Alligator mississippiensis: one gene and its partner. The protein of the gene in region 1 purifies or fractionates together with the protein of each later gene. This does not show direct contact. Links are inferred from orthologs where the notes say so. Each region holds a gene or a part of one and is shown on either strand. Other genes may lie near its edges.

The links.
Region 2: the proteins of JUP (region 1) and desmoglein-2 purify together in Homo sapiens (affinity purification with western blotting; 3 studies listed by BioGRID and IntAct, with this or other methods). This does not show direct contact. The link is inferred for Alligator mississippiensis from reciprocal best matches to the Homo sapiens genes JUP and DSG2.

Annotation. Positions count from the first base shown.
Region 1 is NC_081827.1:163,143,022-163,155,108, forward strand, and holds the start of JUP (junction plakoglobin), read left to right. Parts: upstream 1-6,466; 5' UTR 6,467-6,560; intron 6,561-6,901; 5' UTR 6,902-6,983; exon of another isoform or gene 6,984-6,993; intron 6,994-12,087. UniProt on the Homo sapiens protein: Common junctional plaque protein. The membrane-associated plaques are architectural elements in an important strategic position to influence the arrangement and function of both the cytoskeleton and the cells within the tissue.
Region 2 is NC_081826.1:81,647,496-81,659,690, forward strand, and holds the start of desmoglein-2, read right to left. Parts: upstream 5,134-12,195; 5' UTR 5,043-5,133; coding exon 5,007-5,042; intron 1-5,006.

The DNA of each region.
Region 1 (12,087 bases):
CCTAATGTCTATGAAATCTATGAAATGAAACAATTGCAGCAGGTCACCTGGCTTGGACTGGGGAGTTGTAACCCACCTCTCCCACCCTTTTACATAGGTAGAATTGTGTTGTCTGTCGACAGCCCCACTTCCTGGTGTATGGTGCCAATGACAACTTCAAAGGTAGTGATAACATCTCCCTGCTTTCCTCCTTCCCTATACCTCAGCCAGTGCTGGTGCTGATGTTATAATGGTGAATGAGATGCTGGTGGAAGTGCTAATCCCTAATGTATCTGTCCTCATATAAAGCCAAATCCTTCTCTCCAGCACTTGCCCATAATACACCCCCCACTTCAGCCCCATGCTCCTGTCCAGTTTGCACCCTGGCATTGTAGCCTGGGGAAGGATCACAGGATGTTCCCAGAGCCACATAAGGGGGATGGGAACAGCCTAGCACACCACTTTGGCTGCTGTGTGCACAGCGAGGGGCTCTTGGAGCTGATCATTATTTCCACAGGCCTCTGATGTAGGCCAGCTCCAAAGCATTGCCGTGGTGCATTAGCGGATTCAATTGAATTCTGCCGAGGGAGATGGAGGAAAGTGCGGATGGGCTTGTTTCTCACAAATGACTTTAGGAAAGCACAGTGCATTGATGTTTTTTAATGGGGCTATGAACCAAAGCCTGTTAGCATTGTCAGGAAATGGAGTTATAATAATAGTCTTCCTTCTGACGGTTGAAAAGGGGCTACGGAGGGACCAGCTACAAAGTGTGCTGGCAGATAATTGCGTTATCCGACTTGTGCTGAACACAGGGGAGATCTCTGTACTCTAATCCCTGGGCAGGACACACCAAGTGGGAAACACATGTGCAGCTCCTGTTCCGCTTGTCAGCTGCTTAATCTGGTACCAGGAGATCAATGAGCACTGGGCATGTGGGACATGCACTCCCCCCCTGGTGAAGTAGCATGGAAAGGAGGAGAACTGGCCCAGTTCTTGAAAGTGGTGCTTTCCCGGTTTTTCAGGACCTGATGGCAGGAGACAGGAGGCAGATTAGCCTCTTCACGGGCAGGATGGGGGTAAAGGACTAGCTTTGATGTGGGGTTTGTAGGCCAGTTTCTGGGGCTCATGTTCTCCTCCTAAAGCAGGAGAGGGGAACTGTAAAGCCTACCCTGATTCATAGATTCATAGATTGTAAGGTCGGAAGGGATCGAGGAAGATCATCGGATCCAGCCCCCTGCACCAAGCAGGAAAGATAACTGGGGGTCAGGTGAGCCCAGCAAGGTGACTGTCTAGTCTCCTTTTGAAGAGCTCCAGGGTAGGTGATTCCACAGTCTGGACACCCTGACTGGGAAGAAGTTTTTCCTAATGTTGAGCCTGAATTGATCTTCCAGGAATTTGTGGCCATTACTCCCGGTTTTCCTCTCGGGTGCCCTGGTGAACAGTTGCTCACCGAGCCCTTGCTGTACTCCCCTCATGTAGCAGTAAGCTGCTACCAGGTCCCCTCTCAGCCTTCTTTTCCCCAGGCTGAAGAGTCCCAGATCCCTCAGCCTTTCCTTGTATGACTTGCCTTTTAAGACTCTGATCATACAGGTGTCTCTTCTTTGGACTCTCTCAAGCTTGTCCACGTCCTTGTTAAAGAGTGGTGCCCAGAACTGGACGCAGTACTCTAGCTGCGGTCTCACCAGTGCTGAGTAGAGCAGAAGAGTCACTTCCTTGGTTTTGCTGGAGATGCATCGATTGATGCAGGCCAGAGTATCATTTGCCCTACTGGCTACAACATTGCACTGCCGGCTCATATTCATGATGCATGCTGCGGTGCAAGTCCATGGCTGCCAATTGAGCTGGGATGGTGACAAAAGCATGGGAACCCCTCTGGTCCCTCCACCCCAGCTCTTTCTGAGGTGCAGAGGCAGCCTCCAAGACCTGCCTTTTCCATATTCTGCTTCATTTAGCTAAGTCCAGTATTTCTCTGTCCTCTGTTTTTTGCGGGGGACTTTGGCCATGGGCAGGGTGGGGAATCCACAGCTGGGAACCTGCACAGATGCCCCAGGGCCAACCCTGAATAGAAACAGGCAGAATGGTGCTTAAATATACCTTGGTCCTAAACTGGGATAGAACAAGAGGTTATTAACTGCAGCGTTCCTTGCCTACACCCACGGAGGGACACGGCTTGTGGAATCCAAGCTAATTCCACCTCCACCCTGCCCCTCTGGAGAACCAGCAGGATTCTTACGTGCCAAGGAAGTGAAGCTTGTGATTATTAACAAGCTTGTGAGGAAGTTCTTGATCAGTCTTGCTAATGATCTGTGATGCTCTTTCGACCGAACTGCATAGCCAACAGTTAGTGATGTAGCACCCTGGCCCCTTCAGTCAGAGGCTGAGAAATTTCACTTTGGTCCTCCAAGGAGACCTCTGTCAAAAGCAAAAGGAAAAACCTAATAGTTCCCAAAAAAACAAGCAGCACTGAAAAATAAGACCCCTGCAGGCCAGCTCTGTGCGTCAGAAAGGAACAACAAATGACTCAAGTTCTTGTTTTAGAGGTCTTTTATTTTTTGTTTTGCTTTATATGCAGGTCACTGAGAACAAAAGTTGTTTTTTTCCCCTCTTAATAAATTCTCAGCAATGTCTTAGGGGCAGCAATGATTGCAACAGGTTTCACGTGCAAGGCTGCTTGCTTGTACTCAGGATGTGGATTTGATTGAAAGCAGAGTGAGAAGGGGTTAATAAAATTTCCTTCTACAGGCAGAGGAAAATATGAATACAGAGCCCAGAGTCCCACCAAGGTGATAACTGACAGGTGAGCAGAGATATTGTAAGGATGGGGGGAGGGAAGATTGTGCCAGGAAGATCATTTCGCTGCAACCAGCCAAGGTGTAAGAAGAGATAAGGAATGGGCACGGATGGCAGTAAGGGAGGTGCAGGAGGCAGGTGACTGCAGGGCTCCATCTCTGTGCCACCACTGTGAAACCGGAGCAAAGCCCATTGAGGCTGAAATTGGCAGCTGGTTTCAAGCATGTTCTTTCTGGGGGTGGGGGATAATCCTGCTAGACAGGTAGACCCCTCCATCCCTGCTTTCCCAGAATGGGGGTGGCTGGGAAGAATGTGTAATGTACAAATCACAGGAAAATGCAAACCTGAATGGAAATGGAAAGAGACAGGACAATGGTGGCAGCCACTTTGCCTACTGGTTCTGTGGTTTGTGAAGCTATCCAAGGGTAGCAGTCCTTACACCTTGTAGTCAGGCCACATGCTTCCTGCCAGAACACTCCTAGCTTCCAGGAACAAGTGCTTGGTTACACTGGGACCCAAATGCATTGTCTTGAAACTCTCTGTGTGGAGAAAGACACAGGTGCCTCACCTAAGTTGCTGTGCAGGGCCATGCCTTGCCTGGGCTGGTCGTCTTGTCTGTAAAAGCACCTGATGATATCTGCTGTGCACATGTTTGTTTCCAAACTGTGCAAGCCATGAGTAATGCCACAGTCATATTTGGCTCTGCTCTGGCAGCTTTCATCTGAAGCTTTCAAAGCTCTTTGCAAATATGAGGCAGCCAGAAGGCCTCTGATAATTAAAAATGGAAAATAGAACGCTTTGTGTTCCTAGTAACACCTTCTGTGGGAGGATCGCAAAGCACATTCCAGCAGTAATGAATAAATCCTCCCCCTTTGCCGGAAGGGAGGTGAGTCTCATTATCCTCATTTGAGCAGGGAAGAAGAAGAAGAAGCGAATGTGGGTATTTAGGGACAATATTTTCAAAAGTGTCCAGGGATTGTGGGTGTTCAACTTAAGACTCCTTGGCCTGCTTTTTCCAAGGTGATTATGCAACTCCTGTGAAAATCAGGGCAATGATCTGAGCACCCAGAAATTGATGTGCCTGAAATCAGAGACTGACATTGGGGAAATTTTGTGGCTGAAGTGACCTGCCTGAGTCCCTTGAGGAATCAATGACAGATCAAGGAATAGAAGGCAGGCTCCTGACTCCCAGTTTGAACCCCAAACCTGTGAAACCCAATCGGCGTGCTGCCATTTTTCTGCACTGTACCATTGTCAGGGATAGATCTATGGGGGGTGCAGTGGCATGGTTGCATGCCCATTCCACAGTAAATGTCATGCACCAGTGTGACATCTCCCTGTGCTTGGGTCTCCTGCCGTGTCCAAGACATGGCTGGAGCCCTGGGCTGGAGTGAGACACCCAGGGGGATAAATCAGGGAGCAGCTGAGTGATGGGGGGCCTGCCCACTGCAGCCGTTGTCTGTAGCTGACCAGGGAGTGGTGGAAGCCACAGGACTGCTCCTATCCTGCTCCATCCAGCCAAGGGCTGCAGGGACTGGCTGAATGGGCTGCTGGGTCAGTGGCAGTGACAGAGAGGAGTTCCTGCTCCCTCCCCATCCATTGCATTTCCCCCGCTGGCCAGGGGCTCCAGCTGTGGGGAGCACATGCACAGAGGGCCAGGCACATTGCAGGACGGTGGTATCAGTAGATGTTCTGCCCTGTCCAGCACCTGCTTCCAGACCATGGGAGAGAAGGAGCAATCCTGGGCCTTCACCTGCCTCCAGGTTAGTTGAGGACAGCACTGACAGTGGACTTCCAGGTGCTCCTGCTCCTTGTTAGTTCCCCAGGTGTCCCCCACAATCTGGGAGCAAGCACTGGAAGCAGGGACCCATATGTTGTCATTATCCCTGGCCAAGCCTGATGCTGCCACTTACCAAAGCCGCCCAGTGGAGTGGGGCAGGAGCAGCTCTGGAGTATCCCCTGCTCCTGCGATAGCAGGGAACAATGGCGGCAGTGGGTGGGTCCCCATTTTTTGCACCCAGAGGCAACCCCTGCTGGAGAGGTGAATGGGAGGGGAAGGAAGCGGGTGCTGAGAGTTGGGGGGGAGGGGGTCTTACCTGCTTTGTGAACTTAAAAAAGTCCTCAGCAGCTGCTACCTGGCATTGTCTGTGGTGGGGTGGGGGGGCCTTCAAAGTCTGTTGTGGCACCAGCGGCATTTCCTGCACCTCCTTTTCAAATTCCTAGATCTGCCTATAAACATTGTCCTACTGTTTCCCCTTCCTACCACCTCTTAACGTGATGCATTTTACCACTGTTGAAATACCGAGTCTTTCATACAGCGCCGTATCTCAGCAAACAGTTCTGAGAAGGAAATAATTTGGTTCCCAAGATATTTCACATTCAAGATACTTTATTGCTGTTTCGAGCCAGACAAAGGATTATCAAAGAGCGACTGAGATGGAACCCTGAGGTATTGGTCCCTGCTTGCATGTGTCCCTGGCGACGGCTTCGCACTACCACTGGGTTTTTTTCTTTTCCTGTCCATTTGTCACTATTGCCCATGAAAGGGTGGCAGGTTGCTACATAGCGAGACACAACTCCTACCATCTCGTTCCTCTCCCCTCGGGTCACGCACAGCTTTTCCTCATTGCTTTTTAATAGGAAGTCCTTTATCATTCCTGATCATTGGAGAAAATATGTTTTTTTTTCGCCTTTCCTCCGGACTCGTGATGCTAGCGTGTAGAAGTGACTCGCTCTTTCAATTTCTCTTCTGTCACATTGTTTGCAGAGCCAGTCCTGTCTGGGTTTGCGCTGTGTTGAGGGGGCGTGCAAGGGAGAAACCAATGCTTTCATAGGAGGCTAAAAGACAAATGGGGAGGAATTGGGCTGGTGCAGACATGAGGAGCAGGCTGCCATCAGAGTGGGAGCCGGGAGAAAGGTGGCCACGTCTAGATGAAGGGAGGGGAGCAGAGAAGGACCTGCTGTGCTTGCACCCAGGGCTTGCAGAAGGAGGAAGGTGCTTTGCAAGGTGCTCCTGCAATGAGCATGGAGCCAGAGGAGGTGTTTGAACGTGTGGCCATTGGACGTGGCTTGGCCCATCAACCCAACCAGGGGCAGACATTGCTGAGGGTGCCCGGGGGAGCAGGGAGCTGCCCATGGTGTCAGATCCCTCTCCGAGCCCTAACGCCCACCTGTTCCTACAGCCGGTCTCCCCTTGCCCATGGGCAGGGGCCCACCGTGGTCATTAGTAGGTGGGGGAACAGAATGCGGCGCGGTGGGAACCGCGCTGTGGCCGTGGCAGGGATCGGGGCCGCGGAAGGAGGCTCCTGGGACACAGGGCCGGGGAGGGGGCTGGAGGGCAGCTGTATGGCCCTCCCCCCGGCCCTGATCCACCCCAGCCCCGCTCAGCCTTCAGCCCCGCCCTCACCTGCATGACGTCACCCACGTGGGTTTCCCCCGCGCCACGCCCTCCCCAGCCCACCTGGCTCACTCATCCCCTCGACTCCCGTTCCGAACCCTCCCAGCCAATCACGGCCCCGCCTGCCCCCCCCCCCCCACCCCAGCGGAACGCGCCTCGGCCAATGGGCCGCCGGTCAACACAGACCGGGTGGTAACGGAACCCCACCCCTGCGGGCATGACGGAGCGCGAGCCGCGCCAATGAGCGGGCGGCGGTGAGTGGGCGGGGCGAGTGTCCATGGGGACGGGCGGGGAGGGCGGGGCCGGGCTGCGGGCTCAGGGTTCGGCTGCCTTTTGTTCGCGGAGGCGGCGGCCGCGGGCAGTGGCCGGGCAGAGCGCAGCGCGGGGCGCGCAGGTGAGTGCGGCCGCGGCCGAGCAGCGCCGTGTCCCTCCCTGGAGCCGGGTCCCCGGGCTCAGCCTCACCCCTACCCCGCCCGCCCCTGGGTCCCGGTGCCGGTGCCCGCCCGGCGGCGCCCCCCTTGCACCCTCTGCCCTGGCGCGGGGAGCGCGGCTCTGCCCAGCCCTGGCTGCGGGGCTCTGAGCTCGGCTCCCCGGGGGCATCCCGCCGGGGACGAGGGGCCGGCCCCGAGCTGTGCCCCCGGGAGGGGCCGGGGCAGGCGCCTTGCGCTCCCGGCCTGGCCCCTTTCCGTCGCCGCGTGGCCGGCGGCCGGGTAACAGGTGCGCACCTGCTTGCAGGGACCGTCAGCTGCCAGCCGTCCAGGAGGGTCGATCCCGTGGACTCGTGCCGCCGCCTGGGGAAGGAGCATACGCTGAGCTGGTATATCGACGTACGTGTGTGTGCTGTGTGTGGTGCTGTTAGTGTGTCTTTGACCAACGGCGCGGCAGTTAAGGGCTGCAAGCAAACTTGTAGGCATAACATTAATACAACTCTGGCATCCGACCCCTTGATACAGTAGCATTTGCAAATGGCCTTGGTTTCTGCTCTCCCCCCCCCCCGGCCCCTTTGAACGTGGCATGTGCGAGGCTACAGCTGAGCTTCCTGCTAGAAGTTGTGTTGCAAGGAGAAATTGGATCCTGATGGGATCTTGAGAGTTGGAAGGCTCTTATCTGTCTTGAGTAGCACGTGGGCCCCGTGACCCAGTGCATGCAGTACAACCAGCGGAAGGACTCCGCTGCTTATTAAGGATGAGTGGTGTAAACTGGGTTTTTCTTGGCTCTGGCAGCTTGACTTCTCAGCTTTTCATTTGCTGTTTGCTAATTTGGGAAATCGTGGGAACAAGTGAGGTAGCTTGATTTAGCCTTGATCGGTGCAAATGACAGAAATCACTGAGCGAGATCCTCTCCAAATTCACTTCAGCTGGTCCTTCAAATGTTCCTTTTTGTAAAGCGCATAATGGGGCTTTCCTGTTTTGTTGCTCTTTTCCGGCTGCAGATTCTTTGAGGAGCAAGTTTGCTTACTTGGCTGGCCTTTCCGTGACAGTACAACTGCTGTTTCACTGACTGTTTTGGGAGGAAGAGTCTAATAGTGTTCAGACATAGCTCTCCATATGCTGACATAAGATGGCAATTTCTTTCCAAGGCATGAGCACCAAGCACTTAAAACCATTCCTCTGTATAATTGACAGGGCAGAAGATCAACACATGAGCGGCTTTCAGGAAGAGATTGTAGTGCAGCTGCTTATAATCTAGGTATCGGAGAATGTCTGGTTTCTGATGCTGCTGTATGGTATTGGGTCATTATAAAACAATCGCAGCATGGTGCTTTCTGGGTTTGCTTGGAAAAAGTGGTATGTGATTGCGTGGCTTTTTGCAATACACACCAGTAAGTACAGTGATTATGTGTGTATTCGGGAGCATTTGCTGTTTCGGTTTCCCTCCATTAGAATCCACTGATAGGTTTCTCTTCCCCTTCCTTTCAGCAGCCCTAACCTTGGGTTATATCATTGACTGCTATTATGGCACCAATCCTGCTGGCTTGACAGGATGAAGGATGGTGAAAGCAAAGGCCTGGGAACTGGAGATGCAGGCTCTGTGCATGGATTCATTGTGGAGCTCCCAGTTTGACCTTGCCAGAGTCGCTTTGGGCCTATCTGTCAACACTACCCTGAGCTGTGCAGTGAGAATCCTGAAGTGCTACCGCGTAGTTTTGTCAGGCTTAACTTTTGAGGTTTCAGAAGCGCTTGGAGGTCTTGGGAAGGAACTGCTGGAAACTTGCAGAGTACTGAGGTGTCTGGTCTTGCAGCTTGTTGGGCATAGACACTTGAGTTGTGCAAGGATGTGTCAGGATTGTTTGCCACATAGTCAGCAGCTCAGTGTTGCTTCTGGGGTTTTGGCAGCTTGTGCCTCCTTGTTCTCTGTGCTCCTTCCAGGGAGAAGGGGAGGGCATTGCCCAGCGTCTGTCAGACTCCTCGGAGCCAAGTTTTTTTGCTCCTCTTTGAGCTTTGTCCTATTTGCTGCACTCCACAGGATGTTGGAGAAGCATGTGAGAGAGAGAAAATGAGAACACATTGGCTTTTGGGTGTCTGTCAGAGTACCACAAACTGCCTTAAAACAAGAGGGAGTTAGTGCTGCTGGTGTGGAAGTCAGTCAAGTGTGTAAGGAAGATATGAAATATGCTGCAACCTCTATTTTCCGAGTTCAGGTTAAAAAGCTGAGGAATGGAGTCTGGAGAAGGAATTCGTGCGGTAAAATTAGAAGTGTGCTGTCTGCTACGCTGCAGGGCTTTTGGGGGGGGGGGGGGGAGAATACTCCCTTGCTGTCTTAGCCTTGACACTGGGAGAGGAGAGGGTGCTCTAATTGCATTAGCTAAATGATTAGCTTAATTAATCAGCTTTATAGCACAGATGAAAGGATAGTTCTGGAGTGTTGCTGGGAGTTGCCTAGGAAAAAAAAAGCTCTTGTATGAGGAGCTTGAAAAGATGCTCTCTGCCAGTGCTTCTAGTAAATTTTTTTTTTGTGTCAGTGCCCTAGTGTAGGCTGCTCTCAGTAGGGAGGGTATATTTTAAGTTACGCTGAAGAATAACAGCTATGCAAAAGACTGTAGGCGATGTGCATGGCACTGTACGAAATATCCAAATGGAGATCCCAGGAACAGGTTTCAAAGGCCTAAGGCAGTTGTTCTGATGTGAAGTGGCTTGATATGTAGCACTCTTTGGACTTTCCTTTTTGGGCTGGGATCCATTCTAATGCCCTCAACAGCCGTAGCATCTGGGCTTTCGGAAGTGGTGGGCAGTGGACATCTTGAGCTGGGGGGCGGGTAAAGCTGTAAAATACTTGGGATTCTCAATCAAGGTTGCCATTGTCAGTCACTTACAAGTGGATGTCGTTAGTGAAGCCTGGCAGGCACTGGACCTCATCTGCAGAAAGTACAGGCATGTTATAAAAGAAGAGACCTCCTAATGCTGACCATTTTCTTGGGTAGAAATTAAGGAGAGTCGAATGTCCTTTCACAATACCATCCAGCTCTCTAGGAAATCTGTTATTGTTGGTGTTCCTGCTGAGTGTCTGTATATAAAGATGCCTCCCCCCCCCCCCCCCCGCTCCACCTCTGGACAGGCATTTTCATGATGGAGATTAGATATGCTGAAAAACCTGCTGTTTATTTCTGGGGTCTTTCTCTGCCCTGAACCATCTGAATGCAAACGGCTATTTATTCTGAGGCAGGGCTGAGTTCAGCTGGGGTGTATTCCCAGCAAGCAGATCAGCATATTCCATCACTGCAACAGACAGAAGGATTGTGAGGTTTTGAAAGGCGAGGCTTATAGGTGTGTTCAAAAGCAAGGGCTGTGCCTTGGGAACCTTCTGAAATGAGTCATCCTGAACTCTGCCAGGAGGGAAACAAGCTGGCTACTTGCTTTCTCCCCCTCTCCTCCCCTCCTCAGGTTTTCTATCGGGTCGCTAAAAATACAACAGGGATGACATTAAGGAGGATTCATACCTCATGGGTCAGGTGCTGCTATGTCAAAGGGCCCTCCAAGCAGAGTGTTGAAATCTGCCAGTCCTGGGATTATGATGCTGGATGAGAGAAGTCAAAGGGAGACAGTTGCAGAAGTGAAATGGAAGGCCCAACTGGGTGTGCCCCACGCATAGTCACTGCAAGTCACTGTCTCATTGTACCTCAGCTTTCCCATCTGTGAACTGGGGAGGCTGATGATTGGCTTCTTTTGGAGCACCATGGAATAGCTACCTAGATCCAGTGTGGCTATTGGGCAGTACTTTACCCTTTGGTTGCACTAGTTCTTGGACTGGAAGAACAGGATTAATCTCATCTTCCCATATTTCTTTTGGACCAAAGAAGGGCAGAGGGCATATGAAAGCAGGAAAAAGAAAATGGCAGGGGATGATTGTAGGTTCCTGTCTATTTTTCACTGTGATCCTTTGTAACGTCCCACAGCCAGGTGCTTGTTTGCAGACTGCAATTCTAATGTTGCCTGTAATAGCCACAGTCACTAGGGTTCCTGTGGCAAACAATTTGAGGCCACTGCAGCCTGCGTCCCAAGAAGCAGTTGGCTGTCAGTACAATGGGCAAGGCTTTTCCATTCACAACCCAGGGGGCTTGTAGGAAGTCGCATCTGTTGCTTGATTCTCCTTGCCCTGTTCAAAACTTAAAAGGTTCTTGCCTACAGCTGGTGGATATTGGCTCCTGGATGAGCTTAGTGCAGTGTATACTGCTTGTCACAAGGAGTTGGATGCTGCTGCTGTTCAGTTAATCTCTACCAGGCAATCCCGTCTTTCCTTGAAATTCTTCCCTTCCTAATGGACCTTGTACCTCCAGCGGCATTTAATTTTGAAAATTACTCTCAAACCTTGGGGGTACTCTCTCCTACCTTGGGGGTCTTCAAGATGAGGCTGGACAGATTTGGCTGGGGTGATACAACACTAGCACCTGTTGCTGCCCAGGGCAGGGGGTCGGACCTGATGATCTATTTAGGTCCCTTCCGCCGCTAAGCACTATGATACTATGATTACCTAGACTGTCTTTCCTCTAAAGGCACTTAACCGGTACAAGAATACCAGTATATAACTCACTGGCAAACTTCCCTAATGTGGATGCAGCCACTCTGTGGGCACGGTGAAGTTACCCAGTGTAAGAAATACCAGTAGAAGCTTGGTCTCGCAGGTATCTGTTAGAGGGAAAACATAAGGGTGGGAGTGGAGCTAGTTAGCACAAGAACAGATGGGAATGAAATGGCCATGAATAAATTCAGGCTGGGAATAAGAAGTGAGATCCTATGTGATCAGGGAGGGTTTGGGAGAGTCTCTCACTAGGACAGCTGCTGGGAGAGGGTGGGGGAGGCACAAATACCTGATGGCTTGCCAGGCAAGATTATGAAAGGGATTATGTTAATGTGGTAGTGTAGGATAGCAAGGTGATGGGGAGATGATGGCTCTCTACTAGTCTTAGGTTCCTGTGTATGCAAAGGCTGCTGTTGGCACTGCTCCATCAGTTGGGGGTCACACTTTGGTGCATGCCTGACTATTCTGCTGGTGTGTATCTCTTTGGTGTGTATCTGGACTTAGCTGGTCCATGTGAGCATAGACAAGAGCTATGTACGCCCCTTTCTTAAAACAAAATCTAGGGTTAGACTGGCCAAGCCAACTGCCAAGTCTCTATAGTGCATCTACAATGATATCATATTCTCTGTCTCTCTCTTGTGCCCCCAATTAAGACATGTACTTTGCTTGGTAAAGGTAACATGAGGAGAAAATGTTCTGTTTTGTTTTTTTCTCCCAGAGTCTTAGCTGAATTTTGAAAAGAGGAGTGCACTCAGTATCCTGACAGGTCCTTGGCCTCTGTGGCTGGCAGGATGCAGCAAGCATTTCTCACTGCCCACCAAGTTCAGAAAGGGAGGCCAGGCAGCTCATCTCTGGCAGGATCAGCTTTGCAGAAGAGATCAGGAGCGGATGAAGAATTGAAACAG
Region 2 (12,195 bases), on another chromosome or scaffold:
AATCTTTTAGGTGATGCTATGCACAGTAGATTAATTCTGCTGCACGTTACCATGGCTTTTGCCATGACATGCTAATGCACAAGAAAATTAGTCTACCGTACTTTTAGTGTTTTGTGTAGACACACCCAGTGTTTTCAGATTTGCCTCACTTCCATGTGCTCAGGGAGAGCAGGGTCTGAAAGACTGGGTCAGTTGGGGCAGAAGGGAAGGGGCTGCAGGAGGAAGAAGCTGGGAGGCAGAGGACAAGGAGGCTACCTGATGCCCCAAACTTAATTTTCCCTGCTGTAGCAGTGCAAGGGGGCCAAATTCAAGACAAATCTCCAATGATTAGTTTCTATACCTGGGAAATAACAACATGCTTATATATTTTTCATATACAGATTCTAATTATTGGGGGGTAGTCTTAAATTCAGAGTCATCTTATATGTGACTAAATATGGTAACTGTGGCAGGGCACCAGTGGTGCCTGCCACTTTCAGGGCTAGATTAAACACTCAGCAGGTGTTTGATTACGGCAGCCATTCTAGAACTCTGGCCACCTATATAAACTAGAGCAGTTTCCTGCTAGGGACTAGGCAAGAAACACTGCCTGGCTAAGCTGCTGCATGGGAATATCTTGCAGGTAGGAGCAAGAGGCTCTCATCCTGGGCATGACCTAAAACTGTGCCCTGCTGGGAATGGGAGGCCTGGTGGGGCTCCCAGTGGCATGGAAACCCCAGGAAAATGCCAGGCCAGTTACCACCCCAGTGAAAGGTGAGTAGCCCTTGCCTTTGGGTGTGTCATATTATCCATCTAATCCAGGGAAGGCCAGGTAAGCTTCTTGAAGCTCCTGAGCCTGCTGGGGTGAGCTGACCCTGTAGGTTGAGGCATGCTTTGTGAAGTACCTGAGCCAGGAACGGGGACTCTGATCCTTGAGTGCAGGCGGGAGGCTTAGACCAAACCCAAGGGACCTGACTGGTCAATGCTGGGGCCAGGACTCAGATTGGGGTCAAAAGGGCCAGGGGCCCACTGTGAGGGATGCTCCTATAAAGCAGAGAAGCTTGAGGTCCTGACTGGCCTGAGATAGGGCCAGGGCTTAAAGGGAAGCAGAAGGTCCCAGAAAAAGGGGCCACGGCTAATGGGTGAAGGGGATGGTTGAGATGCCTGCCTGAGATGCCATCTGTGAGGCTTGGGCCACAGTGTAGGGGTGGAACTGAGCTGTGAATAGCCCCCCCCAAATCAGGGTGTATAATGGGCAGCCTCCTGCCCAACTATCACATCAATATTATTACACCAAGGCATGGCAGATAAGTGAGGTGGGTGGCTGACCTGTAGACAGGGGGCAGGTCGGTGCTTGCACCAGGCATGAAAGCTTGCTCCTGTCACAGTAACTAGTTCTGGAACTCTCAAGACAAGAAGCAACTGTTGTTTTTAGTCCTGAATAATGGCAGGATGTGGTTCAAACACTATCTAGATAAGCCACTTTGTAACAGCAATCCTAAAGTAATGAAAATCAACACTCCTGCAGAAAGGAATAAGCCTAATAAATACATAAATCACAGAGCTATATCAGTGGGTTTAAATTTCTGTCCCCATAAAATTAGGCAGGCTTTATAATAAAAAAGACAAAATTTTGGATATCAAGGATCCACTTGATATAGTATACCTGGATTTTTTAAAAGCTCTGAGGTCCCTCAAAGACTCTTAAAGAAACTAACCTGTCATGGAATCAGAGGGACCTCTCTGAGATAAACCTGATAATTTAACCCCTATTCCTTTATTCTGAGATCTATACTCAAACTGTACACTACTAATAACACACATGGTGTCAGAACTGCATTACATCTTCTGAGGATCTACTTATGGTCCCTGGGAACTGTATGGACAAAGGTGGAGTCTAACAGAGCTGGGTTCTCAGTGAAGGCTGTGTGAGATGGTTAACTATGTTTGTCTGAACTCGGGCAGAAGAGACTGCATAGATATGCACCTTGCAGACTAACTAAATAAGATCTACATAGAAAGCATAAACTCTCATGAACTCGAGGACACTTCATCAGATGCTAGATATAGGCAGGCCTTCATCGACTACTGCTGCTGTAGAAATTCAGGGCTTTTAAGTGAGTAGTTGTAGTTTCTCCAAGTAGGAAAAAACTTGGAGAAATCCACTAGGCTGCAGATGAGATGAACAAACTCCATTTATAGTAGGATACTGTGAGGAAAAATCTTCACTAATATTGTATATAGTGGAGATTTCTACTCTATTATATATAATATACTAATATTATATAATCAATATTAATATAAACTGACAATTAATATAATAATATAATTAATAAAGAATATTATAATAATTCTCCACTGTCTCTCTCTCTCTACTTTTTTTCTTTTTTTTTTTAAGTTTTTGCGAAAACTTCCCTCCAATACATCTCACCACAGAGGGGGCTATCTGGCCCCCAAGGAAGTAGGAACGGAACAGACACTCTCTACAAAATAAAAAAGGTAAAGAATGGGAGGTAGCAGGGGGAAAGGTAAGGGAGTGCTCATATCTGCTTCATTATGCTGAACGATGAAATTCTGAAAAAGCTCAATATCTTCCATGTTGGAGGTGCATATCTTTTTTTCTTCTGGCTTTTTTCTAAAGAACTCTGTGGCTAATTATAGACATGGTAGAAGAGTTACAATGTCACCAGTATCCAGGAAATCAAATTTGAGCAAATACTGAGAGAAGTGATTTTAGCCACTCCTTTACAACACTAACTTTATTTTTGTTTACCCCTGACTCAGATTTCAAACAATATTTCATTGTCAAAGATGGGACATTTCTAACCCCATTGACTAAGAGCCAAGAAAGGTCCTGTTTTCAGTCTCGAGGGAGACGCCCAACAAAAACATGGAGGAGATTATTTTATATTCTTGGTATTTCTGAAGTAGACAGCAAGCAGAACTAAATCAAAACAACCACATTTATTATTTAGTTCTGTCGTTTGAGACCTTTTCCACATATGAAAATAAAGACAAAAAGTTGATCCTCCTCTTCCTGATTTTATTCTCTCTCTCTCTCTTTTTTTTTTTTTTTTTTTTTTGTGCTGACAACCAAGTACTGCGGTCTTGTCTAGATTAGGTAAAAAGGTGCTTCTTTTGATTGAGAGCTTAAACAAGGTAGATGTAAATGTATATCCCACCTGACAATGGGACATTGCACACCTTTTAACACCACTAGTTCAATTAGACCTCAGGTCCTATCTAGCCTCGAGTTACCATGATTAACAAAAGCACCTTTTTCCAGGGGGTCTTTTTTGTTTGTTTGGGTTTTTTTGGGGTGGGTGGGTGGGTAGTATTTTGTATTGAGGCAAACTTGCCTCATACAGCCATCATCGCTCCAACAGCAGCCCATACCTTCTTCCTACACCAGACAAAACCAGTGGAGTTCTGAGCCCAGGGAGTGCCCTTCAGTTAGCCCCAATCCTACCAGAGGATGAATCTGTGAAACATTCAAACTAGTACAATATTTGTAAATTTGTCCATTGTGTTACTTAAAACAGCGAGTGAAACACTTCCTATCAACATGGTCTCACTTCTTCATTGACTGTGTTATGACAATTTGCCTTTATCATCCAAAGCTTAGGAAGCGATCATGAAAGCTGATCAAAAATGATCCATTGGGGCAATTTTTCAGAGGCAATTCCAATTCAACAAAATCAAGTATTCAAACAGAAAACCCTCAGAGGGGCAAGCTAGCTACCTCCTGTGGCCACCTGACAGCCCATGGCTTGGTAAGGTGCCAGGCTTGCTGCGCTGCCCAACTCCCAGGCTTCCTGCCCTCTTTGGTTCCTGGGGTGGGCAAGTGCCACACAGCCCCCAGCTGCCCACCTCTTGCTTGTGTGGCTCTGTCAGCTGTGGGGTGGCCATCATAGAGGACATTCCAGTTTTCTGCTACTCTGTCCTCTATTGATACGAAACCCAATGCCTTTACGTCCTCGATCCTTCTCTTCAAGAGAAAAATAGAGCACATAAAGGCATCCAGTTTTGTATCAACAGAGGACAACCGGATTGTCCTCTATGATGGCCACCCTAGTCAGCTGTCTAGCCTGCTGGCTGCTCAGACAAGCTGCCAGTGAGCAAAAGATTATTTTTTTTATTAGAAATATATAAAAAATACATAAAAGCATAACAAAAATCTCGTACTCACAAGAACCGCCACTAGAATTATCATACAAGCAAACTCAAAGGACTCTTGATATCCACTTCAAAGAAAGGAAAGGATAACCCAATACCAAATACCCTAAATATTCAGTAGAGAAACACACTTCATTTACATAGGTAAATTAAATTCGCCAGGGAGCAAAAGAGATGACGAGCCAAGAAAAGTGCTGGCAGTGAGCTGACAGGACAGGGCCGCCAGACCACTTCAGTTCCATGAAATACCCGAGGCTTTGACTTCCCCTCCGTAGCCTGGGATGACATTCAGTTTAAAGTTTCACCCTTCCTCACGGGATGGAAAGAACCAGCGAGCAAAAAACCCACTCTCCCATTTAGGTGTCCCCCTTCCTCCACAAAGCCTGGGGGCGGCTTGCCATAAGGCAGCAGAGTCCAGGCAAGAGGAGGAGGTGGGGAAGCCCCAGGCGGTCTAATAAAAAGGGATCATTTTGGAACCGCCAGTCCTAGTTGCTTGTACGTCTTCTTGTCTCAGACCAGCACCCCTGAAGCGCTGAGAAGGGAGGCGACCTTCCCACAAGCCCGTGTAACCTCGGACAGCGCTAACCAGGCAGCCAGGGCTACGCCGGGCCCCCAGCGCAGCCCTGCCCTGCCCGCGGCGGGATCCGCCCCGCCCGTCCTGCACCACCCGGCCCGGCCCCCTCACCTGGCCCCGGCCCCTACATGATTTGGGGGGCTCCAATCCCCTTCAAACCCCAGGGAACCGGGGGGGGGGTGTCGGCAGCGGCCCGGGCTGTCCCCGGGCGCGGAGCCAGGGACGCAGGGCGCTGCCCCCCGCGGCGTCGCAGCCCCCGCTCGAGGAGCACACTCACCAGCGCCAGCAGCCAAGCCCCGCGCCCCGCAGCCATGGTCCAGCTCAGGCCGCGGCCGGCACGAAATGGAGCCGCGCCGCCCAGGGGCGAGGGAGCGGCCTGCCCGCACCTGGGAGGGCGCAGGTGAAGCCCGCCCCCCTCGGGGCAGCGCCGCCAAAGGCCCCTGCCCTGCTGCCGCGGCGGCGGGTGGGGGCGCTGCCCTCCCTTCCTCCCGGCACCTTGTGGCGACAATTTGTGCGGGAGTGCCGGGCCGGCTGGTGCGGGGAGCCTCGCCGCCGTGCGGAGACGGGCCATGGCACCAGCCCCGCGCGCTCCGTCCGGCCTGGCCCGGCCCGGCCCGGCCCTGCTGGACTGGGGGGAGGTTTCCAAGTGTGATCCTGCACCAGTCTTTCCACACAGAACAGAACAGAACAGAACAGAACACCAGTTAGTGCAAACTGCAGATGAGCCCACCTCTAGCCGGCTGGGGCTTGAGCCTGAGTGTTGGGGCTCACCCCTGTGTTACCAAAAGAAACCTGTTGTGGTGTTTCCAGAACCTGAGCCGGGTAACAATGAGCACCTCTGTCCACCCGTCCTCATAAAAGAAGACATCTGCTAGAAATCAGGTGATGCTTTTCCAAATCATAGACTCGAAGGAAATGAGTGCTGGAAGGGACCTCAGGAGGTCATCTAGTCAGACCCCCTGCTCAAAACAGGACCATCCCCAACTAGATTATTTCAGCCAAAGCTTTGTCTCGCAGGGTCTTGAAAACCTCCAAGAATGGAGATTGCACCGCCTCTCCGGGTAACCTGTTCCAGTGGTTTCATCGGCATGCGGGTGCACGCACACCTCCTGAGATTGACGGTGTACCCCCTGCAGGCAGTCGCCACTCGCCACTGGCTGCCACCGACGCTGCCAGCGGTCACCATACGCCCCAGCCTCCGTGCCCCCCTCACCAATAGAGTCTGGCAGAATTGAGCGCTGCTCCATCCACCTTCAACCTCCTCCCAAGCACTATATTGACAACATTTCAGAGAAGCGGGGTGTTGAGATCTGTGGTTCCCCTGCTTTACCTCAGGTGGATTAAGGTGTTAGGGCTGTGTCGTGTCAGGGTTGACGGTAGTCTTACGTAGAGTTTAGGTTATGGTTTGGATAGGGATGATCCTGCCTGAGGCAGGGGGTTGTACTAGATCAGTAGTTTTCAACCTGTTATCTGCAGACTGTCTAAGGGATCCACAAAAGATGACTATGTTCAATCAAAAGTATGTAAATGCCCACACTTACAATGCAAAGGGGTCCGCACCTCCATTTGAAATTTCAAAAGGGGTGTGCACCTCCATTTGAAAATTTTTAGGGGGCTGTAAGTGATAAAAGGTTGAAAACCACTGAACTAGATGATCTTTGGAGGTCTCTTCCAGCTGGGACACACTGAGCCCTTGTTTTCTCACATAACAACCCCAGTGCTGGCAAGATATGTAGGGAGTCAGAAAAGAAGCAAGGGTAACATTGGACCCATGCTGAACCAAACGGGACAGCTGATAACCGACATCCAGGAAAAGGCCGATCTGCTCAATGAGTATTTTGTTTTGGTCTTTCATCACTCCAACAGGACTGTCCTGCCTAGCAAGATGCAAGATGGCCAGGGTAAGGGAGTATTTATACCCAGCATCGGTGTTGATCTAGTAAAGGATCACCTTGAGAGGCTGGACACCTTCAAGTCATCTGGTCCTGACAGATTACACCTTAGAGTACTCAAGGAGTTGGCAGGTGTCATAGCCCAACCACTGGCAAAAATATTCAAAAATTTGTGGTGCTCAGGTGAAGTACCTAAAGACTGGAAGAAGGCCAATGTGGTACCCATCTTCAAGAAAGGGCAGAAAGTTGATCCCAGGTATTACAAGCCAATCAGCTTGAATCCCCGGTAAGATTCTGGAGGAAATTATCAAGGACACCCTTCTGGATAATCAGGCCAAAGGCAACATCCTGACAGATAGCCAGCATGGGTTTGTTGCAGGTAGGTCTTGCTTGACCAATCTCATCTCTTTCTATGGCCAGGTGATGTATCACTTGGACAAGGGAGAAGAGATTGATGTCATATACCTGGACTTTAAAAAAGCCTTTGATCTGGTGTCCCATGACCTCCTCATGGAAAAATTGGTCAACTGTGGCCTCGACTTCACCACAGTCCAATGGCTGGGTAATTGGCTCCGAGGTCAGACCTAGAGAGTAGTGGTCGATGGTAGCGAATCATCATGGTGCTCCGTGACCAGTGGCGTCCCCCAAGACTCTGTCCTTGGACCGGTTCTTTTTAACATCTTTATCAATGATGTGGACATTGGTGTCAGAAGCACACTCACCAGTGATGCTAAACTGTGGAGCATAGCATCCACACTGGAGGACAGGCTAGTAATCCTGGATAAACTTAGTAATTGGGTGGATACAAACCTGATGACGTTCAATATAGATAAATGTAAAGTACTCCACCTTGGAGAAAAAACCCGCAGCATGTTTATAGGTTTGGCAGCGCTATGCTTGCTAGCACCATGGCTGAAAGAGTCTTAGGGGTCATGATTAACCACAAGATGAACATGTGCCACCAATGTGATGTCGCAGTTGGCAAAGCAAACACTACTCTGGCATGCATCCATAGATGCTTCTCAAGTAAATCTTAGGATGTCATCCTCCCGCTGTACTCAGCCTTGGTGAGGCTGCAGCTGGAATACTGCATCCAGTTTTGGGCTCCACAATTCAAGAAGGATGTCAAGAAGCTTGAAAGAGGCCAGAAGAGAGCCACGCGCGTGATCAGATGACAGAATATGCCTTATGAAGAAAGGCTTAGAGCCATGGGACTCTTCAGCCTGGAAAAGCGCAGGCTCAGGGGGGACCTGGTGGCTGCTTATAAGTATATAAGAGATGTACATCAGGATCTGGGAGAACATCTGTTCACCAGAGCGCCCCAAGAAAAAACAAGGACCAATGGTCATAAACTCCTCCAAGACCGTTTTAGGCTGGACATAAGGAAACATTTTTTTACTGTCCGAGCCCCCAAGACCTGGAATAGATTCCCTCCAGAGGTGGTGCAAGTATCTACTCTGGACTCATTCAAGAAGTGTTTGGATGTTTAACTTGCTGGGATCCTTTGACCCCAGCTGACTTCCTGCCCCTGGGGCAGGGGGCTGGACTTGATGATCTTCAAGGTCCCTTCCAGCCCTATTGTCTATGAAATCTATGAAATCAAAGGGCATGCAAGGTTTGGGGCCCTGCCACACATTCACATGAAAGCTGGAGAGAAAACAGCTACAGAGGTGTTGCATGTTTTCAAGCACTAGCTTGGGAGCAGGTTGGCTCTTCTGAAGAGCTAGATAACGGATTTTATCTTGTGAGAATGGCTTTGCCCATGTGGCTGGTCTAAATTTATTGTGCTATGGAGCAGTTTATTGTGTAATTATATCATGGTGAGCAGGAGCCAAATCCTCAGACATTTCACCACCCACTTGCCTCTGCTGTGCTTTGGAGGGACTATGACAAGGGCCAAGCTGGTCTATTCTCTCTCCAGTTGTTTCCTCCTTGGCTTTTCTGTCCACAATAGATGGGGTGGGGTAGGGTTTCTATATAGGAAAATATGTTTTCATCAGTAAGGAGTTGCATCATAATGCATGCCATTTATTTATTCAATTTATATGCCATCCTTCCCCACAAAGGCTCAGAGAGGCTTGCAATAAGTTCAGAATCACTTGTAAAACAGGAGAACAGCAAGAAAACAAGACAACTTTAAAGGGCACTAGAATGTCAACATAAATAACAGAGACCCACTAAAATATATCTCCTCCTAGCTTTTAACTGCCGCTCACAGGCAACAAAACTTGTCTTTTGTTTTGTCTTCATAGTCTTCTAGTCTTTGTGGCATGTTTGGTTGATGATGTATTTGAGTAAAGATTTCAACCACAGGGAGGGTTCATTCTACTTTATCATACAAAGACAGACCGCAGGTTGGAGCATGTATAAAACAAGGTATTCCCTCATAAGAAGTTGTCGTCATTAATGAGTAATTCATGGGAGAATTCTTTCTTCTTTCCCTTGCCCATGGGAAAGAAGAAAGAATTGCTCCAACAGAATCTACCAATGATGAGACTCTTAATCAAAATGGAATGGCTTGCAAGTTATTTCCTTTACCAGAGAACAATATTTGATAACATTTTCTGATAGATGCCACCTGATTTAATTCAGGGGTATAGGTTGTAGCCATGTTGGTCAAAGGACAGACAGACGACATTCTTTGGGTACGTCTGATATCTTTTATTAGACCACCTAAAATAGTTGGAAAAGATCTTTTTGCAAGCTTTTGGATATAAACACCCTTACGTTAGTTTGTATGCGAAAGCTTGCAAAGAAGACTTTTTTCCAACTATTTTAGTTGGTCTAATAAAAGATATTGGGTTTACCCAAAGAACCTTGTCTACCTGATTTAATTCATACTTGATGGGTAGAACCAAATGAGACACATTAATGTGAAAAAGGTAAGTCCAGAGAGCCATCTTTACTCAAAATTTCTTTGCCTTTTTGATTCATGAAATTGTGACAGACATTGCTGTATTTACATGCACATCAAGTGGGAATATTCCCACTTGAAAAATCAAAGACATATGTGAATGGCAATTCTGGTGTACTTTTAGCTCTGCTTCTGAGTAATAGTGACTTCATGGTTTTGATCAAGGCATGCAACTTTTCTGTGGCACAGAATAGCTACTTGTGAACCTACACAGTAATGCCATCCATAAAAGGAATGCTCTGAGGCTTACCTAATGTTAGGAAAAGTGCTGTGACAGTCTCTCACAAGAATTTGTAAGTCTTGGATGAAAGGAACTATAGAAGTGCAAATCATTACCATTTTACAAGATGCATAATGATGCATACAACATATTGAAGAACAGGATTGAAGTCCTCAATATTATTTGAATGCAATATTTTTAATCTGGTGGGCTACAAATAGATTCAGTATCACCTGTATATTGTTTGTCAACCTAAGGGCCTGCTCTTCAGAACCAAGCACAAGGTTTTTCTGTTATTCAATCTGCAGGCTTACCTCTCCGCTGCCTGTCTCCAGCAAGCAGGCTCACAGCATTTCAGCTCTGTTTCTTTATAAGCTACCCTTCTGCACTGTCTAGCAGCCAAGCACGCTTCTCTGTAAGTTGTCATCTTGGACCACACTGAGCAATGCTGCCTGGTTCTACTGTCATTAACAGGGGTAGTTAATTTGTCCTGTTATCAGCAGTCTGGCCTTTACAGCTGTCAGATAGTATTCGTGTCTGACAGGACTATCCTGTGCTGGAGTAAATTAATGTACTGTGCCCTAATTGCAGTGTATGTGTAGATGGTGATGCTTTTCCGCATAGTAAATTAGTCGACTGTGCAGTAAAGCGCATGTGTAGATGTACCCAATGATATAAAAATAATTTAATTCCTTCTCCAGTGTCCACTGAGGAAAGTGAGACTTTTTGCAATGACATCAGTTACTATTAGAATCAAATCTAAACTGCTATTTCTTTCAATATCTTTAAAAGACCTACTTATTATTTAACAACAAATACAGGTACATGCTCTCATCATATATTTTCCTATATAATGATAACATCAACATTTATTTTCTATGTTTTATTATTTGTGAATATATCCTGTATTATCTTTGTGAGTAATATTCATGAGACCTGTGTGCCTCCAGAAAGGCATTCTCATGTCATTCATCATAAGTGTCACTCCCATATCATGCTGAGTAAAGCTACAATAGCAACTCTAATCAAAACTCATATATGAATAATTCTTTTCTTGGCCTGGGGTAGAAACACCCAAGGTTTAGTCTTGCTTCTCATGCAATCAGTGGTGAATCTACTCTAGTTCTTTTAAAAAGGTGGAAAACAGCAACTGATCAATTTATTGAATTTAATGGAACAGTCATAGAATGTAACAGGTATTGCTAGTCTTGCTACAGTCTAAAATCCAGTCCACCTCATGCCTGATGAAATTCTCAGAGCTCTTTGTAAGTCATATTAAGGTAATATACGGATATTTCTCATTGTCTTAAAACCACAGAACTGTCTGTTTCATTTAAAATGTGGCAGTGTTACAGTGATATTGTGGCAGTGTTGGTGCTGGAATTGTGGATTGTTTGTGGTGATACGTTCTATTGGACAAACTATAGTTAGGATAAAGTCAGACCGGCTTTCAAATGCAAAGCACTCTTCTTCAGGACCTGAAGGTTATAATACATATACAATCAGGTGCTGAAGAAGAATGCTTTGCATTCAAAAGCTTGTAAGAGTTTATCCCAACTATACAGTTCTTCCTCTGTAATAAAAGTTATCACTCAAAAAACTTCTTGCCTCTCCTATCTTAAATGTCCTACTGCATAGAAACTACCATTGTCACTTGTCTGTCTGGGAATTAAAGGGCATGCTCTGATGTCAAAATTCCACTGCTTTTAATATAATTAAACAGAAATTGATTTTGTTTAAACATTCTCTCCGTGCCTTCTCTATCTTATAGGATAAACAAAGATAAAAGAAAGAATCTGCATTTTGAGATCTACTGACAGAAACTATTACATAAAAGTGAAGCATACATTATGTATAATTACTGTACTGCGTCCAGTTCTGGGTGCCACACTTCAGGAGGGATGTGGACAGCATCAAGAGAGTCCAGAGGAGGGCCACTCGCATGATTAGGGGGCAGCAGGGCAGGCCCTACGAGGAGAGGCTACGGGACCTGAACCTGGTCAGCTTCCACAAGAGAAGGTTGAGAGGGGATCTGGTGGCTGTCTATAAACTGACGAAGGGGGACCAGCAGGCAATGGGAGAGTCCCTGTTCCCCCGAGCACTACCGGGAGTAACAAAGAACAACAGCCATAAGTTGACTGAGAGTAAATTCAGGCTAGACATCAGGAGGCACTACTTCACAGTCAGGGCGGCTAGGAGCTGCAACCAACTTCCAAGGGAAGTGGTATTTGCCCCTACCCTGGGGGTCTTCAAAAGGAGGCTAGACAGCCAGCTAGCTGGGGTCATTTGACCCCAGCATCTTTTCCTGCCCATGGCAGGGGGTTGGACTAGATGATCTGCTTAGGTCCCTTCCGACCCTACCAACCATGAAACCATGAAACTATGAATTATTTGAAATGTATAATTGATAACAGGGATTAAGACAACAACACGTCTAGTT